Linked DNA regions of Arabidopsis thaliana. The protein of the gene in region 1 interacts with the protein of each later gene in a pairwise test. Each region holds a gene or a part of one and is shown in the gene's direction. Other genes may lie near its edges. The genes, in order: AT1G48195, WRKY43 and CRF8.

The links.
Region 2: the proteins of AT1G48195 (region 1) and WRKY43 interact in a two-hybrid assay, tested with the Arabidopsis thaliana proteins (one large-scale study listed by BioGRID).
Region 3: the proteins of AT1G48195 (region 1) and CRF8 interact in a two-hybrid assay, tested with the Arabidopsis thaliana proteins (one large-scale study listed by BioGRID).

What each region holds. Positions count from the first base shown.
Region 1 is NC_003070.9:17,794,389-17,797,378, forward strand, and holds AT1G48195 (Zinc finger C-x8-C-x5-C-x3-H type family protein), read left to right. Parts: upstream 1-1,946; 5' UTR 1,947-1,960; coding exon 1,961-2,209; 3' UTR 2,210-2,396; downstream 2,397-2,990. Other genes in the region: AT1G48190 (Galactose oxidase/kelch repeat superfamily protein), read right to left, coding at 172-233, 344-433, 508-669, 706-775; AT1G48200 (uncharacterized protein), read right to left, coding at 2,682-2,734.
Region 2 is NC_003071.7:18,955,267-18,958,579, forward strand, and holds WRKY43 (WRKY DNA-binding protein 43), read left to right. Parts: upstream 1-1,945; 5' UTR 1,946-1,987; coding exon 1,988-2,136; intron 2,137-2,222; coding exon 2,223-2,403; 3' UTR 2,404-2,659; downstream 2,660-3,313. Other genes in the region: KPHMT1 (ketopantoate hydroxymethyltransferase 1), read right to left, coding at 23-376, 744-1,145. UniProt on the Arabidopsis thaliana protein: Transcription factor. Interacts specifically with the W box (5'-(T)TGAC[CT]-3'), a frequently occurring elicitor-responsive cis-acting element.
Region 3 is NC_003070.9:26,820,894-26,824,275, forward strand, and holds CRF8 (Integrase-type DNA-binding superfamily protein), read left to right. Parts: upstream 1-1,623; 5' UTR 1,624-1,983; coding exon 1,984-2,469; 3' UTR 2,470-2,778; downstream 2,779-3,382. Other genes in the region: GLIP6 (GDSL-motif lipase/hydrolase 6), read right to left, coding at 179-414, 502-967, 1,042-1,181, 1,281-1,527.

The sequences.
Region 1 (2,990 bases):
GAGAAAAAAACCTAAAATGTAACACTAATCGCACTTACAAAGGGAAACTCACAAGCAGAGGAAGCAGAGTAGTAACGCAAAGGAAGCTAAAAGGAATCGGTAGAACATTGTAGTATTTATAGACAAGAGAATGGGTTAATCGAAAAAACCCTAGAGAGAGGACAGATGTCATCATCTTGCGTTGTCAAACGTATCGAGGGCTGCGAGAATCGCTACTTTCTCCGTACAAGCAACTTTCATCACCTCCTTGCTATGTTTTTGTTTCGTCGTTTTCTTCCAACTTTTTTGAAGATGACCGTTGTGCCTTAGATGACGTCGCTTTAGTATTGGTCTTCATCTTTACCTGGCCCAAGACCATTCACTTGCTTCCAAAAGTTTCCCTTATAGTCATACCAATGGAAGAGTCCGTGAAACCTATAGAACAAGACGTTGTCTATCACACAACAAAACAACTATAGTACACTTCATTACTTATATTAATATATAATCCTACCGGGTTCCATCTACCTTCTTTGGGATTGTAAACCACCGCAGACTTATCTGAGTCATAACCAAAGAGGTAGAATTTTCCACCAAGTCCCAAGCTTTTGTGTTCAGCTACACTTTCATTCCGTATCACCGCGCTAGGGCTAGTCACAGAGCTCCAAGTGTGAGTCTTTGGATCAAACCCTTAAACCCAGTCCACAGAATTGCGATCTTCACAACCTCCTGCTACATATATCTTCCCCTCAAGTAGACTTACAGTGGAGGAAGAGGAGCTCCGGTCCACCCGCATGCTTAAAGTTTGGTTCTATGTGTGAGACTTCCAATCCAAGACAGAGACTCTAGAAGAAGAAGGCACATCCCCGCCAATTTTGTACATCTTACAACGGTAACCATATGATTCGAGGAATGCGATTGTGGAGGAGGAGAAGTGGGAGATGGTTGGATTAGGATTGGGACGTAAATTTTGCCACTTGAATTATTCTTCTTCATTCGGTTAGGTATTTGGCAGAGAGTGTACCAACGAGGGTTAGATTAGTGTCAGGAGGGAACCGTAAGCACAAATAGAGACAGCTCTCGGCGTGGCCTAGGAGAGAGCGGGTCTTGTAAAGCTCCGGTGAAGTTACGAGAGATCGAAAGCTCTTGGAGACTAAGGAAAGATTAGGATAGTACAATCTAGAAGACGTGTGCAATGCAGCCCAATAGCAAATCATAGGGAAGTGCCAGTTGCGTTGTCGTCGTCATTTTCTATCATAGGGTTTGATCAAACTTTTGATTTCTTCTACTTCTTCTTGAGAGAGTTGTCTAGGGATCGATCAATTTAGATATAGTTATCATTTACCAAAATACCGTTCATTTAATCTTAATAGGCCTCAAAACCTAAATCTGAAAATTCTTAGGTTAGAAATAAAGAGCCTTGGCTCACACGGTACATTGATTGATCGAATAATGGTTCACAAGTTTTGTGATTGGGTCACCAGATCGATCCGGCCTCCGATTACATTATTAGTGATTTTCATATTTAACTTTTGTATTCATTACTTTTATATTTTAATTTTAGGAACATGCTTAATAAAGGTGGAGTTTTTTTAAATATTCAAAAAAAAAGGTGGAGTTTTTGCTGTCAAAATAATAATAATCTAATTTTAAGAAAACGACTTATGTCACATGTAGTTTATGTTAAGAAGATTTATATGATTAAAATGTATTTATCTAAAATATTAGCAAAATAAAATCCACTAAATATTAATTAAGTAATAATTAAATGAAAAAATATAAATATAGCATCATGATATTATAATTTTGTTTAAATACAATTATAACTAAAACAATAAATATTAAAGATGATACTATCTTTCTTCAAAACATGTCATTTTAGTATTCAATGCTAGATTTTCTTCTGGTAATATATATAGATTATAGGTAGAAGAGATATACAAGTACATGCAAACAATATAATACTAGGAGAAGAGAAAATATGTCTGAAGAAAAATTCCCAGAACGTCCAGGCGAACCAGAGTGCAGCTATTATCTTAGAACTGGAAACTGTTATCTGAAACAAAACTGCAAATACCATCACCCGAAGAATATAACGCCGAGCGAGCCTCAATGTACTCTCAATGACAAGGGCTTACCATTAAGACCTGGTCAAGCCATTTGCCCGCATTACAGTCGCTTCGGCATTTGCAGATCCGGTCCGACTTGTAAATTCGACCATTTTACCTAACCATCATCCTCAACTTGCAAATGATAAATTTGAAACTGATATTCCTTATCTCGTGTTTATTTTCAATAATATTCTAATATCTATGTTTTATTTACTCTTTATATGTATGAAAGGATGTTATTAATCTAAGGATCAAGTTAATCACCATGGTATCAAATTTTCATTTCATGTAACAAAATTGGATTTTTCTTTTCAAGTTTACCCAACAAACAAGGCTTTGTCGTCTCCAAATTTTGGACTAATGGTACATAGTGAAAGCCTTAAGAATCAACCCAAAGGAGGGTCTTACCTTATTTTAGGAGCTTTGTCCATACCAGGAGGTACAAAAAAAAAAGATCACAACAACAGACAATAGATGCCAAACTAGTTTACAAGTGCAATTTATGCAAATGATGAGACTAAATGCTAATCTTTACTTTAGCCGAGTGAATAATTTGAAGTGAAATGAACCTACCAAAAATTTAACAACCTCTCATATCATGATCTTGGGAGTGGACACTTTAGAATCTTCCTTGGCTGTGTCACCTGGAAGAAAGAACATAAAACCAGTTAGTGAACACACAGCTAATCTCCGAAAGGCGGCTTCTAATCATGTTCATATCTATTTCCCTTCATGTTACACTCTAAATCATATCGATTCTAACCCCATTTCTCTTTGAATTCAATACGTGCGTCAGGTTTTCTTTATCAACCCCACCAATCTAGCCTAGTTTGTACTTGCACAGATGTAAATTGATGTATCAAACAGTGATACCTAACCACACATTCTCAAACCAGTAAG
Region 2 (3,313 bases), on another chromosome or scaffold:
AACGAAACTTTTCAAATAAAACCTGTCCACTGCAGAAAGGTCCAGCCCCAATGCCAATGGTTGGTATCTTGAGGGCAGAAGTTGCAGCAGCAGCTACAGGAGGTGGAACGCATTCCAAAACAACCGAAAAACATCCAGCTTCTTGTAAAGCCATTGCAGTCTCAACAACTTTAACAGCACTAGCTATGTTTCTGCCTTGGGGTCTGAAACCACCAAGAACGCTAATCGCCTGAGGGGTTAGACCCACATGACCAATAACCGCAATTCCTGCTTCAACTATAGCTTTTGCAGCAGTGATCCTAGAAGCTGATCCTCCTTCGAGCTTAATCGCATCCATTCCTCCTTCCTTCAAAACCCTAACCGCAGTATCAACCGCCTGAAGCCAACATTTAAACCCAAAATCAGGTCCCTAATTTGTTTCATTGACACAAAATCTTGTAAAGAATCTACTTTGCATAAGCAAGTACTAAAGCTAAATCTGTGATTACACAGGCAATGACACATTGACACATAATGTATCATTTAAGACTTTTTTTATCAAGAATCCAATCACCTAAACATTTGATCAGGAAATGAATTGAACATTGTAAGTCCCACTGAGTGTTGTGATTAATTCAGGTATTGAAATTGCAATCAAGAATCTAATTACCTACACAAAAATTAAGCAGAAGAACATGCCTTATCAACAAATATGTTTAATTTAGGTATCTAGAAGAAAAAAAGATTCAATTTTATAACATTACCTGACTAGAGCTTGACTCGTAGGTACCAAATGGCAAGTCACCAACTAGGAGAGGTCGTTTAGCGCCTCGAGCAACGGCACGACAATGAACAAGCATCTCGTCTAAGGAGATAGGAAGTGTTGTGTCGTGACCATGAACAACCATGGAAGCTGAGTCACCGACAAGACAAACATCGATACCAGCTGTGTCTAAATGAACGGCGGATGGGTAATCGTAGGCAGTTACGACGGTGATCGGTTCTCCTCTCCGGTGTTTTTGTCTGAGATGCGTTAGCGTCACTCTTTGGTTTGGGTTTTGTGGCTTTGGTCCTCCGTAGACGGTGTTTTCCGGTAGGTTACTCATGAAACGGACAGAGATGGCTTTTGAGAAGCGAGAGCAATTCCTAGTGAGTGAGGACGCCATTGTTGTGAAGATGAAGAAACCCTCTTATCTGTGACTGTGTCTGTGTTTACAAGAACAAGGAATTTTACTTTTAAGAAGATTCAATTCCTAGTGAGTGAGGACGCTGTTTAGATTCTGGCAAGTGGCGATTCAGTTCTGGGTTTCACACACAAATCAAGCATAGCAATGACACTGTTAGGAATTGTGATAGCTTAACTATAAATTCAATATTTTAACGAAATCAACAAGATCCGTTGTAGTCTAGCTGGTCAGGATACTCGGCTCTCACCCGAGAGACCCGGGTTCGAGTCCCGGCAACGGAGATAGTTTTAAAATATCTTTACTATATTAAACCGGATTTTGGTTCAGTCTGGTTATGTTAACCCAGTCTCTGTTTCTCTCTAGGCTCTAGCCTAACCCAGTCTCTGTTTCGATCTTATTGAACTTCTGTTCCAAAGGCGATTCCTTTTTTATTTTTCCGTTTCTGGGTTTAGATAGAGAAATGTAGAGATTGAGATCGCGGTTACTAGTTGGAACTCTCTTGGAGTTGGAGAGCATCCGAGGGTTCTGCACGAGCTCCTTTAAGATCGTAGCTTCGGTTCTTTTTTATGAGATTGCGCATTGTGATACCAAAACCGGATTCTACTGTTTACAGTTTCCAGGAGTTCAAGTAAAGACCAAACCATGTCTCTGTTTTTTAAGTCACACACGTGTGAGATGACGTGAAGGAATTTTTTGTTGTTGTTGGTCTGAAGTAGTTGAATGTAGTTGGCTTCTAAACCTTTTTATATATCTCTTCAATATAAATCACACGAAGAATTCTAACACACAATTCGTTGATTCATCATATCTCCTCTTCATTAATGAATGGCCTCGTCGACTCTTCTCGAGATAAGAAGATGAAAAATCCGCGATTTTCGTTTCGCACAAAGAGTGATGCAGATATTCTCGATGATGGTTATCGATGGAGAAAGTACGGTCAGAAATCCGTCAAGAACAGCTTGTATCCCAGGTAAACTTTTTAACATAAATAATCTGAAATTGTTTTTAAAAAGATTGTTTTTTTGTGTGTTTCTTCTCACTTATGATCATCAAAAGGAGCTATTATAGATGCACACAACACATGTGTAACGTGAAGAAGCAAGTTCAGAGGCTGTCGAAGGAGACGAGCATTGTGGAGACAACTTATGAAGGAATCCATAACCATCCTTGTGAGGAGCTCATGCAAACCCTAACTCCTCTTCTTCATCAATTGCAGTTCCTCTCTAAGTTCACCTAATTATGTTTGTATATATATTAACGTTCTAAGAGCATCTCCAATGGAAGTATCTCAATGAGATACCTAACAAAAGAAAAAAAATTAAAAAAAAAATATGAGAGAAGGGAGAAAAAGTAGGAGAGAAGGAGAGTTAAATTTCTCGGATGATTGGACAGGTGTAATCACACTATTAGTTCAACTATTAAATAATAATTAATGTATCTGTTTTGATTAAAATATTAATTAATATGTTTTTGAGAAACTTTCTTTATTTTTACTGGTGGAGATGGTCTAATGTTCCATGGTTCATATAACGGAGCAAATTAAAGCATTGTAATCATATATGTTTGCATGTTCATAGTTGCAATCTCGTTTTGATTATAAATCAGTTTTAAGCATATAACCAAAATAAAAAAACAAATCAATTGTAATATTCCGGTAAAACGATTACCACGTGATGATTATAGAGAGGCATAGAGCAATATCGTCTGGTAAACTGAATAAAACCGGATTTGGTTTCCATAGATTTTTCTCAAGCCAAATCAGTTTCCTTTCGTTTGAATAAACCTATTGGCTTATCGTGAGTGATTATTGTTTTGTTTATTTACACGATGAACAATGTCAATGAGACATGTCACATGTACGAAGTCAGTTCCGATATATTACATGAATTGCTTTCAAGTTTTGATCAGCATCCTTAAATAGTCACCGAAAATAAGAAGCGAACAAGTCTTGGCGAAGTTGAAGCCACAAAGTGTACTAATAAATATGGATTGCCGAATTAAAAGAAGAAACAAAAAAACTACATTTTCATATTTTTTTTCTTCTTCCATATATAAATCCACTTTTCAACTTAAGCAAATGCAATCAATGGGAAGGTAAGTATGTATACCTCTAAATCTCAAATAATCTTTAAAATTATAAAATATAT
Region 3 (3,382 bases), 9.0 Mb from region 1:
AATGATATGAAAGAGAACAATAAAAACATTTTGTAGCGTTCATGTTACAGTAGAAGAGGAAGAAGAGACCAGAAGTGGAGCGAAGTTTCACTTTCTGGCTTTTGTTTTCACAATGATTTCGAGTCTTAATTCAGATACAAACTCATTATGAATTCTATATACAAGGGAGATATAAGTATTAAAATGTGATCTTGTTGGTGGCAAGAGCCATGAGATTAAATGGTCTGATATGGTTTTTGTTTCCATTCCATAAAGCTTTTGACATGAGACGGTAAGTGTGTTCTGTGGGATGATAAAAATCCCAAAACAGAAACTCATTTGGGTTATTGCAAATCTTGTATCCTTCTCTTCCACACTGCATCAATCCTCCCAGTGTACCGTTCCCACAACACGCGTTTGAAACATCCGAAAACCCTTCACCAAAAACATGATTCAGCTTTCTCATAGACACATTTGAAAAAGATCTCAAAGATGGAAGTTAATTAACTATATTGAGTTTACCGTAACGGGCAGGGTAGGTTTGAAATCTGTGAGTGATACCATATACAGCTCCAAACACCGCAATGGCTCCAGGGTACTTAGTGGGGATTATGTTCACTATATCTTCAAGTCTTTTATTATACATCTTGGCCATAACATTCATCTTACCAAAGCATTTATTGGTTGGGGCATTAGGAAGCATGGCTCTTGCAGGGACACAACCTACAGGACCTAAGGAGAAGAAAGCGATGCGGCGTGCGCCTAGTTTGTAGATCTGATCAATCGTTTTGTTCACTTGGTCTAACATTGCGTTCACATAAGCGTCTGGAGAAAGTGTAGGAGCTCGGAATGGGAGGAAGTAGTTGAAGATGTCGTTAGAACCAGTTTCTAATAAGAAGAGAGACTCTTGGATTATAGATTTTTCGATAAGGTTTTGCTCTACAAGTGTCTGGAATTGCTGTAGCTGGGTTTGGATCGGTGTCACGCCCTACATTTGATATGTGTACTTAATGAGTGATTCACAAGAAACAAACATTTTATTTGGTCAAGGTAGATATTTACCATAAATTTGTTGGTATCAAGCAAGAGACCACTACCAGCACTAGCAAAGTTAATGCCATTTGAAAAGTTTGAAGTTCCATTCAAGATTTGAATCTGCAATTCCAAGAATGGTTTCTGTAATGGAAGGCCTACAAATTCCGCTGCAATTATTGCGTCAAGAAAAGAAAAAAGAGACAAAAGTAAGGTTCCTTGCAGAAGAAGAAATGTTTTAGTTAACGAGTTGGGAGGTAATTTGTTACAGATGAAGTCAGCGACGGTTCTTCCGTTGGTGAACCTCCCAGTAGGACGGTGGAAAAAGGAAGAACCATAAGGAGGAAAATCAGCCTGAGCGGTACAGTTTTTGTTGTAATGGTTGTTTCCGGCGTCAAAAATAGAGTCACCGAAGGTAAAGATAGCAGGGACGGTGGAAGAAGACTTGGCCAGAACAACCGGAGAGATTAGAAGAAGCAGACACATGAGTAAGTCCATTGAAGAAGAAGAAGACATGGGACAAATGAGTTTATAATCATATAAAAGGAGATTATATACTGACACACATATATATATATATATATATATATATATATATATACAAAATTGACACGGAAGGCAAGAACATTGTTCATGTTTTTGCACTTACTCTTATGTGTGATTAAAGTTTCAAACTTATTCCTAAATTTCTGCTTCTTATTACATAGATGAAGGAAAAAAGAGTAAAGCGTTTTTTCCTTTAGAAGATGGGCTTCAAGCCATGTTGAGAAATTTCATGGATTTTACTGCATTTTCAGCTCTGAGGCCCATACGGCCCACATAGGATTGGTTAGAAAAAAATAGAGAAGTAAATAAGTAAAGATGAAAAGCATCAGAAAAAGAGATTCTGAAAGAATAAAAACATATTCTTTCTCTCAAATGCTTTCCTTTTAATGGAGACGAAGACGGAACCCTAATTTCCGCAAATTCACTATGAAGCGTATTATCAGAATCTCATTCACCGACGCAGAAGCCACCGATTCTTCTAGCGACGAAGACACGGAGGAGCGTGGAGGAGCATCCCAGACTCGGCGCCGTGGGAAACGCCTCGTTAAAGAGATCGTAATCGATCCTTCCGATTCCGCCGATAAACTCGATGTCTGCAAAACACGGTTCAAAATCAGGATCCCGGCGGAATTTCTCAAGACGGCGAAAACGGAGAAGAAATATCGTGGAGTGAGGCAGAGGCCGTGGGGGAAGTGGGTGGCGGAGATCAGATGTGGAAGAGGAGCTTGTAAAGGACGACGTGATCGTCTCTGGCTGGGTACTTTTAACACTGCTGAGGAAGCTGCTCTAGCTTATGATAACGCTTCAATTAAGCTGATTGGACCTCACGCGCCGACCAATTTTGGTTTGCCGGCGGAGAATCAAGAGGATAAGACGGTGATTGGAGCTTCTGAGGTTGCTAGAGGCGCGTGAAGTGGGGTTGGTAATTTAGTTGTTAGCATTAGCAAGAAGGTCTCTCTCGTATTTTGTAAATTCATCTTCTGATGTTGTGTATGATCTTGATGTCTTTCGTCTATGTATATATATGAAACTCGAGAAATGAACTATATTTTGATTTACACACAAATTTTAAGGTACAAATTTTTTTGAATTTTTAAAACGTTTAGGAAAGAAAAGTTTGGGTTGAAATAGGCTCTTTTTATTTGTATACTATTCAATCTTTTTACCATTTATGGATCAACACATAATAGAACAGAACTCTAACCAAATTGAACGTTAATGACTTGGATCAGAGTTATATTTTGATGGTTGATGAAAAGTTGAAAATTCTTTATATATCTTTCCATCTTTTGGTTCTTGTATCACCGTATCAACGATACATTTTTATACTTTGGGGTGTCTAATGAAAAATACTGAATTTATCAATTTACTTTGACTTGTTGAAGACTGATGGCCATGGGTGAGGGGTTTGGAGATAAAGAAAGTAATAAAGAACATGAAGAGATCAGCTAAACCAAGAGACTTCATCATACACATGATATATATGATCTTCTATAATACTATAATAGTAATGACTAAAGAGGAAATGAATGTTTTCGATAATAGTAGTGACTAAAGAGGAAATGAATGTTTTGACAAGAAAAAAAAGAAAAAGAGAGGAAATGAATGTTTACATGTACGTGCACATGAGTTTAAAAATAATAAGTTTGAGGAAACACAAGTGCGTTAGAAAAAAAGCAAACAGATATTTTCTTTTGACTTACGATTATGAAATTGAAAAAAAAAAGGATCTGAAGATAAATTTTGATTGGTTCACAAACTTCACATGATAAACAAGAAGATTTTTCTTTTTTGAACAAATCTTTTGATACCTTAAAGAGGAAGA